3 linked regions of the Bombyx mori genome follow. The protein of the gene in region 1 binds, or shares a complex with, the protein of each later gene. Links are inferred from orthologs where the notes say so. Each region holds a gene or a part of one and is shown on either strand. Other genes may lie near its edges.

What was found.
Region 2: small nuclear ribonucleoprotein sm d2 (region 1) and U6 snRNA-associated Sm-like protein LSm4 share a complex: the UniProt entries of both Homo sapiens proteins name them as parts of the U4/U6-U5 tri-snRNP complex. The link is inferred for Bombyx mori from reciprocal best matches to the Homo sapiens genes SNRPD2 and LSM4.
Region 3: small nuclear ribonucleoprotein sm d2 (region 1) and gem-associated protein 2 share a complex: the UniProt entries of both Homo sapiens proteins name them as parts of the SMN-Sm complex. The link is inferred for Bombyx mori from reciprocal best matches to the Homo sapiens genes SNRPD2 and GEMIN2.

Annotation. Positions count from the first base shown.
Region 1 is NC_085132.1:3,762,019-3,764,997, reverse strand, and holds small nuclear ribonucleoprotein sm d2, read left to right. Parts: upstream 1-1,319; 5' UTR 1,320-1,395; coding exon 1,396-1,397; intron 1,398-1,499; coding exon 1,500-1,752; intron 1,753-2,044; coding exon 2,045-2,149; 3' UTR 2,150-2,400; downstream 2,401-2,979. UniProt on the Homo sapiens protein: Plays a role in pre-mRNA splicing as a core component of the spliceosomal U1, U2, U4 and U5 small nuclear ribonucleoproteins (snRNPs), the building blocks of the spliceosome.
Region 2 is NC_085117.1:3,991,925-3,994,861, forward strand, and holds U6 snRNA-associated Sm-like protein LSm4, read left to right. Parts: upstream 1-1,543; 5' UTR 1,544-1,910; coding exon 1,911-2,330; 3' UTR 2,331-2,369; downstream 2,370-2,937. Other genes in the region: guanine nucleotide-binding protein-like 1, read right to left, coding at 133-226. UniProt on the Homo sapiens protein: Plays a role in pre-mRNA splicing as component of the U4/U6-U5 tri-snRNP complex that is involved in spliceosome assembly, and as component of the precatalytic spliceosome (spliceosome B complex).
Region 3 is NC_085111.1:13,069,676-13,073,820, forward strand, and holds the start of gem-associated protein 2, read left to right. Parts: upstream 1-1,277; 5' UTR 1,278-1,526; coding exon 1,527-1,754; intron 1,755-2,812; coding exon 2,813-3,125; intron 3,126-3,738; coding exon 3,739-3,838; intron 3,839-4,145. UniProt on the Homo sapiens protein: The SMN complex catalyzes the assembly of small nuclear ribonucleoproteins (snRNPs), the building blocks of the spliceosome, and thereby plays an important role in the splicing of cellular pre-mRNAs.

The DNA.
Region 1 (2,979 bases):
TGGAGACTTACCGGCTCGAACGCACTGACAAACAGACAAAAATCGATTTTAAGAGTTCCTTAAACAATAAAATATACTGAAATCGCTTTCATTTATTTTCCTTTTCTTTAATACGGTAATGAAATAAAGAAATTTAATTGAATATGAAGTTCGTTAACATAAAATAAGCATGGCATATACAAAATTGCTGATTATATGATCATGACTTTGTATTTTAAAATTTCCTTAAGCGCCTTATTCACGATCCATCTTGCTGTACGTCCCGCCAAGGCCATGCACGATGCACGATGCATTTAGCGCTTTATTCACGATCCGTCACGGCTGTACGTCAGCTCAAGACCGCAGTGCTGGATGTATCAAGCGCGAACAGAATAAATCGAACGAATTAAATGAGGGTTTTAAGTTAAAATGCCAGCTGCTTTATCAAAACGCCAAAAATGGGAGTCCTTCTGATGTTGTCAGCAGCAGCAGAAGAGAGGCAAAAAATAGCAAGAGGTTTTGGATGATTTTTTTAAACGTGCAGAGTATACTCAAATAATTAATATCATTTTTTACGCACGCTATCAATCCTTGCAGCTTCCCCTAAAATGGGCCTAAAAATTGTAATACGTTTATTATTTTTGGTTTATTCATATAGTCTGCGCTTGAGACATTCCACAAAAATGTGGAACTTATAACTTTCAATAAATCTTGAAAGGGTTTCACGATCCATTTTGACGTGCAGTCTCCTTTCGAAACTCTTCGTTAACTTTAATTTCAGTATTACCACCGTCTTTTTACGATTTCATCAATGTCAGTGTCGAGTTAAAAACTGACATTTAGTGGCCATAATTGTTTGTTGAAATAATACTTTTTGGCGGGAACGCGAGGAGTGAAGTTGTGTGATTTGTTTTATTTTGTCTATTTATTTAGTGTTTCTTCAGGTTGAAATGTGTAATAACGGTGGTTTATTAACTGTGTATTATCTGTGAAAGTGTACAAATGTGGGAAAATGAAACAAAGCCGCTGGATGTAACTTCTCGGGATCCTCCAAAAAGTCCACTGAAAAGATCTCAGTAAATGACCACCATTTTACTGAGATTATATTATATTTCATCCCATATCATCTCATTTCATTTTATTTCATCCCAGTCGATTAATGTCCCAAATTAATCATTTTCATTTCACTCCATATTATCATTTTTCATAAAATTAAGAATATAAATTAAAATAAGACATGACTTACAAGTCTTAGTTACCAGGTCACAAAATTCCTTACAAAAAATTGTTGAATTAAAAAGCAGAGTCACCATAGACAAAATAAAGCGTCGACTTAGCGTGTGTACGATAGTTTTGCTGTAATTGTAATCTTTTTCACTCAATTTCTCAGTTCACAAGCCCATAAAATAATACAAAATGTAAGTATTAATATGATTTACGTAGTTTTAACAATATATTTAACATATTATCTGCTTAGCCGGTAATGGTCAACAATAACTCTAATGTTAACCTTATTATAGGACGTCAACAACTAAGCCACGCTCTGAAATGACCCTAGAAGAGCTATCTAAAATCGAAGAGGAAGAGTTTAGTACCGGACCTCTTTCCGTGCTCACGCAGTCAGTAAAGAACAACACACAAGTTCTGATAAATTGCCGTAACAATAAGAAACTCCTGGGTAGAGTGAAGGCTTTCGACCGGCATTGTAACATGGTATTGGAGAATGTTAAGGAAATGTGGACTGAGGTACCGAGAACTGGCAAAGGAAAGAAGGTAAACAGATGTTACTGTATTTCAGTTCAATTGATTCAGAAATTTGAGGTTATGTATTGGAAATAGGAACCACTCCCAAGCGCTCATGTATAAAAGTGCTACAGCTCCAACTTGAAAAGTACACAATAAGACATGATGTCGCGTATTTTAGGCCAATATTAGCGGAGATAAAATACAAACCACTGGAAATTCCCAAGATGACAATTATGTGGATATGAAACATTCTGTGTTAGCTCATTTCATTAAAACTCTTCAAATTCAAAATACGTATAACTTCTGGTTTTATTTTCAGGGCAAAGCTGTAAACAAGGACAAATTCATCTCCAAAATGTTCCTCCGCGGTGATTCTGTGATCTTAGTACTAAGGAATCCTCTTGCTACAGCTGCAGGGAAGTAATGCAGTAATTAGTTTAAGTATTAATGAATAAAATATTCAGGAAATGAATAGCTTTACTGGTTCATTCCTTAAACTGTAATAATACTTTTACAAAATTGGAAACTGTGTTAGTTCTATGATTCTGCAACTATATGTAATAAATAAACAAACTCGATATTTTAATATATTGAAATTGTATCAAGTTCACATATTGTAAGATAAAGCTAAAAACGATCAGTTATTATAATGATGCATTAAAAGAGTCTCACCAGTATTGTTGTTAATATTAGCATAAAATAACTTCATATTAGTGGCTGAACATACCAAAATTGAAAAAAAGATACTTACTTTTGGTGCAAGTAGTAACTAACAATTTTGTAAAATATAGATGCTTTAACATTTTTAAAGAAACATGGCAAAATTACAATGGTCAAGAAGTCCACAAACCTGTCAATAAGTTTATAATTTCTATAATAAACCAAAGTGTAAAAGTGTGTTTTTAATATGATTTTTTTCATAGCCCCTTATTAATTTGTGCAAATTAGATCTGATGTACATCATGGGATTAAGCTGTGCAGTCCAGTCCAATATTTTGTTAACATGTTGGTTTCATGACAGACACTATGAGTCCACAGCATACTTTCCCCTAGGGTAAAAAAATGTAGTGTTTTTTCAAAAATATTCTCAAGAAATTACTCAAAAGTAATGAGTGAGGTATGGAAACAGTGACTAAGTATTGTTTTCTGAGATATTTCAAATGGCAGACAGTGTCGTCATAGACCTAAGTAAATGGTTGTTACAGGGTGTCCACCATTCCACTGGACTAAACATGATTTCTAGTCTGGTGTTCA
Region 2 (2,937 bases), on another chromosome or scaffold:
TTTCACTTTTTTTTAATGTATGGACTTGCAACCCTCAAAAAGGCAGTAGTAGCTAATTCAGTAATAGTACTTCTGCGGTAGTAGCTAATTCAATTTTGTATAAATTCAGGACGAATATGTGATAATACGTACTAGGCATGAGTAAAACCTTGTTCTGCTTCTTAGACTGCAGTTGTTGTTTTTTGGCCTTCCCGCTGAACGGGGTCTTCCGACGTGCTTGGGGCATGACGAGTAACTCTGTTAATTATGGACAATGTTATTATGAAGTAAACATCTTTACAACTGTTGAACTGCAAGTACAGTTTTAATATTTTTCTGGGTATTTTAATTATTTTATTGAATATCACGTCATAGTATTTTACCATTATACTTTTTCTCGCTCTGATGACCAGATTTGAAGATACAAAAGTAACGCTTACAGGTGTAAGTGTAAACTCAAAAAATGTAGGTACTGGGTAATGTATTATTTATCAAATATACTAAACTAATTGATCGTAATAAGCGATTAAGAATCTGATTTTCAAAAACCGTAACCGATTTTTAACCGTAATTAAATCAAGAATTAATAAACTTAACTAATTAATAAAGAGAAAAACTAAAATTTGGAACACGAGGTCTCCTTGGAATATTATAATTGTACAGAAATAGTTTCAAACTTACGTTAGACTCAAAACAAGAAATCTATTCCTAATTTCTCACTGAAGGGCTTGAACTTATTATCTTTTTACCTATTTAATTGATTTTCGTGTGAATATGAAAATTATTCTACCGACCGGCTAACAATTGAAAACATTTTTTTTCACAGGATTGACAATTGACAGCTGACCGACAAATTAAAGGCATTGAACTCTGTTTTTTTTTTCAAATTTAGGATATTTTCTAAGGGATTTTATGACCTAGTAACTAAAACTTTTAGGTCAAATCTTATTTTAATTTATTTAATTCTTATTTTTACGAAAAATGATAATATAGAGTGAAATGAAATGAAGATGAAATGAAGTGAGATGAAATTAAATGAAATGAGATGAGATGATGTAGGATGAAATATAATCTCAGTAAAATGGTGGACATTTACTAAGACTTTTCAATTGGCTCTTTGGACGATCCCAACAAGCTACGTCTAGCGGATTTGTTTCAATTTCCCACACTTGTGCACTTTCACAGATATTATACAGTTAAACCTGAAGAAACAATAAATAGACAAAATAAAACAAATCACACAACTTCACTCCCCGCGTTCCCGCCAAAAAGTAAAAATTTATGATAATTTTGACAGCTCACAGTAAGGATGCTAAAGTCATTGACTTTGGATTATCGAACATAGATTTATTCTCATGGAACTAGAAATTGATAGTTGCATGGACAGTAAGCTGTATGGTCAAATTAAAACAAAAAAAGTTACATTACATTTAACTATTAAGTTCAGCAACAAAACCCTTCAACACCAGTTTCGATACGTTCTTTTTTTTCATCATTTATCCTATTGAATGCAATTTTTGTAGACGGGTTCACCTTTAGAATAAATTGAAACCAGGAATGAGATTTCTAATTATTTATTACTAATACAATGGTGTGCAACGTAAATTGTTTTATTATTATTCATCATCATCACAAGATTCACTACTACTAGAACTGTCCCTTAACTCTCCAGTTGGACTCGTCTACTTGTAAATTCTTGTTCACAAACTTCATTACATTACCATTGAAGCAATTTTCACTTCTTCTCAAATATTAAGTGTATTATCTGTGCGTCTTCTGACAACTGAGCACTGTCAGTGTCAACCTAAAGTCCTAAAGTAACCTAAAAAAACAAGAAGTTGACAATACACCAAACAACGCGAAAGTAGGAAAATAAACTTCTAATACAAATAAATAATAAACTTCAAAACGAAGTTGATCATTACATCAAAATGTTGCCGCTATCTTTGTTACGGACAGCGCAGAACCACCCTATGCTTGTCGAATTGAAAAATGGCGAAACTTACAATGGTCATCTCGTAAGCTGCGATAATTGGATGAACATTAATTTACGTGAAGTTATTTGCACGTCGAGAGACGGCGACAAGTTCTGGAGGATGCCGGAATGTTATATACGTGGTAGTACGATCAAATACTTGAGAATACCGGACGAGGTCATCGACATGGTGAAGGAGGAGACACAGGTTAAAGCGCGCGGTCGTAACGAGGTTTCCAAGGGACGCGGGCAAAACATGAGGACCGGTGGCCGTGGTGGTAGCCGAGGCGCATTCGGTAACCGCGGCAGAGCACCTCCACTAGCCCGTGGCGGCGGGAACCCGCGACCACAGAACAAAAATAAAAATAAAATGTAAGATAAGTTTTTTAATAAATTAAGTTATTTGGCTAAGGAATAGTTTTGTTTCATTTAAAGTTCAAAATTCCTCCATACATGCTGGTGCAAAGCAACCATATATTTGACCAAATCCAAGATTATTTATTAGTCATAATCCTGATGTAGAATTCATTGAAAATCAATAATATCTAAATAATTTGGAAACTGCAGATGCACAGGTAGTTATGAATTCATCAATCCATTAATATAAAATATTTAAGCTACCCATATCTCTGTTAAATCTAAAATGGGATACAACTTTATTATTTCTTGATATTTTAAGAAAATACATTTTTTTGTTTTATATCTTTAATTGGTTTTCACACTATTCAATTCGTGTCAATATATAAAAAAAATCAAAGTATACTGAAATCATTTATTTACAAAAAACGCTTAAAGTAATAATACTATTGTATAATATGGCAATACCCATTAATGAAATGGTAAAAAACAGAGTAAAAAAAAACAGTGTAAAAGCAATATTTTAATGATGATCCTTGAAACTTGATACAGATAGAGTTATCACATTTGAATAGAACACTTACTTAATTTCTAAGCTGCTAAGAGATGAGGAGTTCCATAGTCAG
Region 3 (4,145 bases), on another chromosome or scaffold:
TGTTTTGTGTTGTTACCTATAACACGAGTTTTTTATTTATTATTAAGGAAAAAAAATATTTCTAGGATTGGAAGCATCAATAAGATATTTTATAATTTTTAACGACATCACTACAATAATTTCATTATCAATAAATAGCATACATACTTGCGGAGTTTCTGCTTCAGATGAGGAATAGGTAGATTGTGAAAGATTGCTAGATGTAGACATTACTAGTACAAAATACTACAAATCCTTTCCTCATAAATTCGCGTATTATGTGTATTAATACCTATCTATGTTAATCGCTACATAAAAGGAACCAACCGTATATTTAAACCTCTTTACAACACAAACGAATTTTAACTTTTGTACTAATTTGTACTTACAATACTTTTTTTATTATTATTTTAAGAGATTTTATGACCTGGTAACTAAGACCTTTAAGCCTTGACTTATTTAATTTTCATTGTTATTTATTTATATTTTTATGAAAAATGAAATGTGCAATAACTGTGGTTTATTAACTGTTTAGTATCTGTGAAAGTGCATAAATGTAGGAAAATGAAACAAAGCCGCTGAACGTAACTTCTGATAGGGTGGATGGACTAGCGGCTATAGCAATTAATTAAAACGTAAATTAAATACTTGAAAACATTGTGTTGACTTGTATAAGAGAAAATTTAATTCAGAATGACACCGCACATCAAAAGTAAAAGGAACATAATACAAATTCAAATATAATGCATCATAGACAATTATACGTGGACAGCATCACAACCTTCCAACAACTTCTCGTTATCTTCCAAAAAGTCCACTGAAAAAGTCTCAGTAAATGACCACCATTTTACTGAGTTTATACTTCATCCCATATCATCTCATCTCATTTCATTTTTTTCGTTTTCATTACATTTCATGCTATGTTTCATAATAATCAACTTCATTTCATTTCATAATATCATTTTCATATAAAAAGGTACGTATCATTAAAATTAAAAATAAGACTTGACCTAAAGGTCTTAGTTACGAGGTCATAAATTCGCCTAAAAAAAATTCTTTCTCTGATATGGTAGCGTTAAAGTTTAAACGTTTAACGCAACCTTGTTGAAAATCGCATTAGAAGTTTCACTTCAAAAATGCTATCTTTTCGAATCTGCACACTACTGCCACAATCTACATTTACGTGATAAAAAAGCCCGATTTTATAAATCAACCATGGAGTTAATAAGTACCTACAACACTAACTCTATGAAATCAACATTAGTAACTATTTATTAATAATCTGTGATCAACATTCCAACAGCTGTCAGTGCTGTCACCGTACACCAATCACTAATAAAACCGCGTTTCCGATCACAAGAATGAAATTATAGAAAAATATTGTCCAAATAATAAGTGTTAATAACTATGAATATTGCTGTACGGGCTATATTTCTTTTGACTGCCTAAATAGACAAAACAAAAGTATTATTTATTAGTCATTACATATATATGTACTATGAATTGTTAATGTTATAATATCTCAAAGCTGTAATTTAGTGAAAAAGATGTCATTGAAAAAGTACTTGAAAACAATGAAGGATGATGAAGATAATTTGGATATAGTATCACCGTGCTTCAAAATAAGTCCTGATGTGCAATTAAAAGAGGTTCCAACGAACGGTGAAGAATATTTACTTAAAGTCATAAAGGAGCGTAAAAACATTGCAGCAGTTACGAAATGCAACAAAGATTATTCAAAGTTTGCCGAAAATCAGTCTCAGTATGTGCATGAGGTCAGTGAAGTTCTGAAAAATGATTTTAAAAATGATTGATTAACAAAATTTACATTCATGTAACCATGATGCCAATGATTTTGAAACGAATTTCTGGTGTAATATCTGCATCTGATGTAACTATGGAAAAGGTTGGGTACATTTCCGCATTGTTCTAAATATCTGCACCAGTAGCTAAAGTTGTAAAACATTTTTAAAATCATTATCTGCATCAATCTAATTTTAATGTTTAGGTCACCTTTTTTCACCAAACCGAGTTTGATTTCAACTATCAAACCTGGTTCTATATGATATAATTAAAATAATAAATTTGTATTAATTAATTTTCAATACACAGAGTTAAGCTCACTTAACTGTGCAAAATGCAGCTGAGATGTCATTTTATACATAATTTTCATTATTGGCACTGATAAGAATAATTAAAGATTTTTAATGTGTACTAAATCAAGAATAATTAATTAATTGATGTCCCTTTTTTATGTTTATTAATATGACTGTACTAATCTTATTCATTCAGGCATAGTAGGTAGTACTAAAAATATATTTGTAAATTATAATTCAAAACATTCACAATAGTAATTTGTAAAATATAAGTAAAACAATAAATACACTGATATTTTATCTTAATAGATTCATACCTTGGGACATATTCATAAATGATTCATTCCTGATGCCCGAATACAGTCTTAAGATGTCTACACAAAATGTCTAAAATGTCTGCAAGATGTCTACACAAAAAATGGGCTACACAAAATTATTCAATGATCATGACCATAAAAGTCATTTTGTAAAAATAAAAAAGTTAATAATCAGCTCACAAAATTGTATATCCTGTTATTAATTTATGATCTGCACTATTCGTAGAAAGCAAACTGCAATTACAGCAGAATTAATTTATAGTTATTAGTCACTGATGGTTTTTGATGGGTGGTCTCAAGATCATTCGTTAAATCTGTGAAATAATACATAACAGATTTTAAGAATATAGTTTTAATAATTTGGTGGCTTAGTAATGTTATTGTAATTTGAATAGATGTCTAATGGAAATGTCTTTTTAGTTCCCGAGGCTATCAGTACCTGAGAAGTTAAAACCTACAATTGAGTGGCAAAACATGCAAGTAGCAGATTTCTCAGAAACTCGAATGTACATATCTCGTTTGCTGTCAAAAAGGAAAATATGGAAAAACAATATTAATATTATAGAAATAAAACCAACCTGTGTAATTGAATGGAAACAGTTCTTCAGTACCCATATTCCAACATTATCATGCGTGCTCGGATTACAACATGCATTACTAGACCAAGGTTTAGAAGTACTTACTGATATTATTAGTAGAACGAAACCTGGTAATACTATAGAACATAAAACAGGTAAGTCATTACTTTACACTGTACATGTTCAGAAGATGATTAAGAGCCGTTAATTAAATTTAAATGGATTTGAACTTCTTCATGTCATTCTCAATAACAAAGTTTGTGGATTTTATATTGAAGTTTTCTCTATCATCTTCCTATTGATTAAGTACAGCTCTTTTGTAAAGAGAAAACTTAACCTGTTTTGTTACTCTCAGCAAACCAAATTATTCATACAGCATACATTCTGCCACTATTCTTTATGTGTTCCATAATTTTGATTCGATCATAGCATTTTGTCTTTACTTTAACTTTATACAAAATTATACAAGATTTTGTAACAACAAGTGAGCTTTATATGAAGAGAATAAAATCAAGATAATAGTAAATTTGTAATTGGGGTAAGGATGATTAGTGAACGCTTTGTAAGGAAATCACATATCAGCTCTCCCAAAAATCCACTTTTAAAGCAGAGATTTCGTAACCACCCAACCTACCTGTCAAATTAATATATATCAATTTTTAAACTTATTTATAGAATACATTGTGTTTTACAAACCATTTTTTTTTAGTACAAATTGTTCAGATGCATACAGAAGAAGTTTTTATTGGGTGGCCTTTTCATTTTCAGGTCAATGGGTATATGCGTTTTTGGCCTGTACCCAACTACCTCTATTGTCTGATACAACAAGTATTCTAAGAAATTTAGCTCGAAAGTGTGCTGAAATAAGGTAAATATAATAACACCTATTGTTATTTACAGCAGGTGACCACAGCTGAATCATAAACAAATGTAACAAAGATTGTGAAAAGTGGCAGTGTGAAATTTTTCAATTATTTAACAAGGGCTTTTACTACCTATACAGGGTAGCTGGTAAGATCCGGGTGAGAGAAGCCTACAATCATGCTGTGGTGTGCAATTGGATAGGCCTATGTCCAGCAGTAAACTGCTATAGGTTGATGATGATGACAAGAAATTTGATTTTTCATTTTCTTATTTAAAAATGGTTGATTGCATCCACTTATGGAAATTATAAT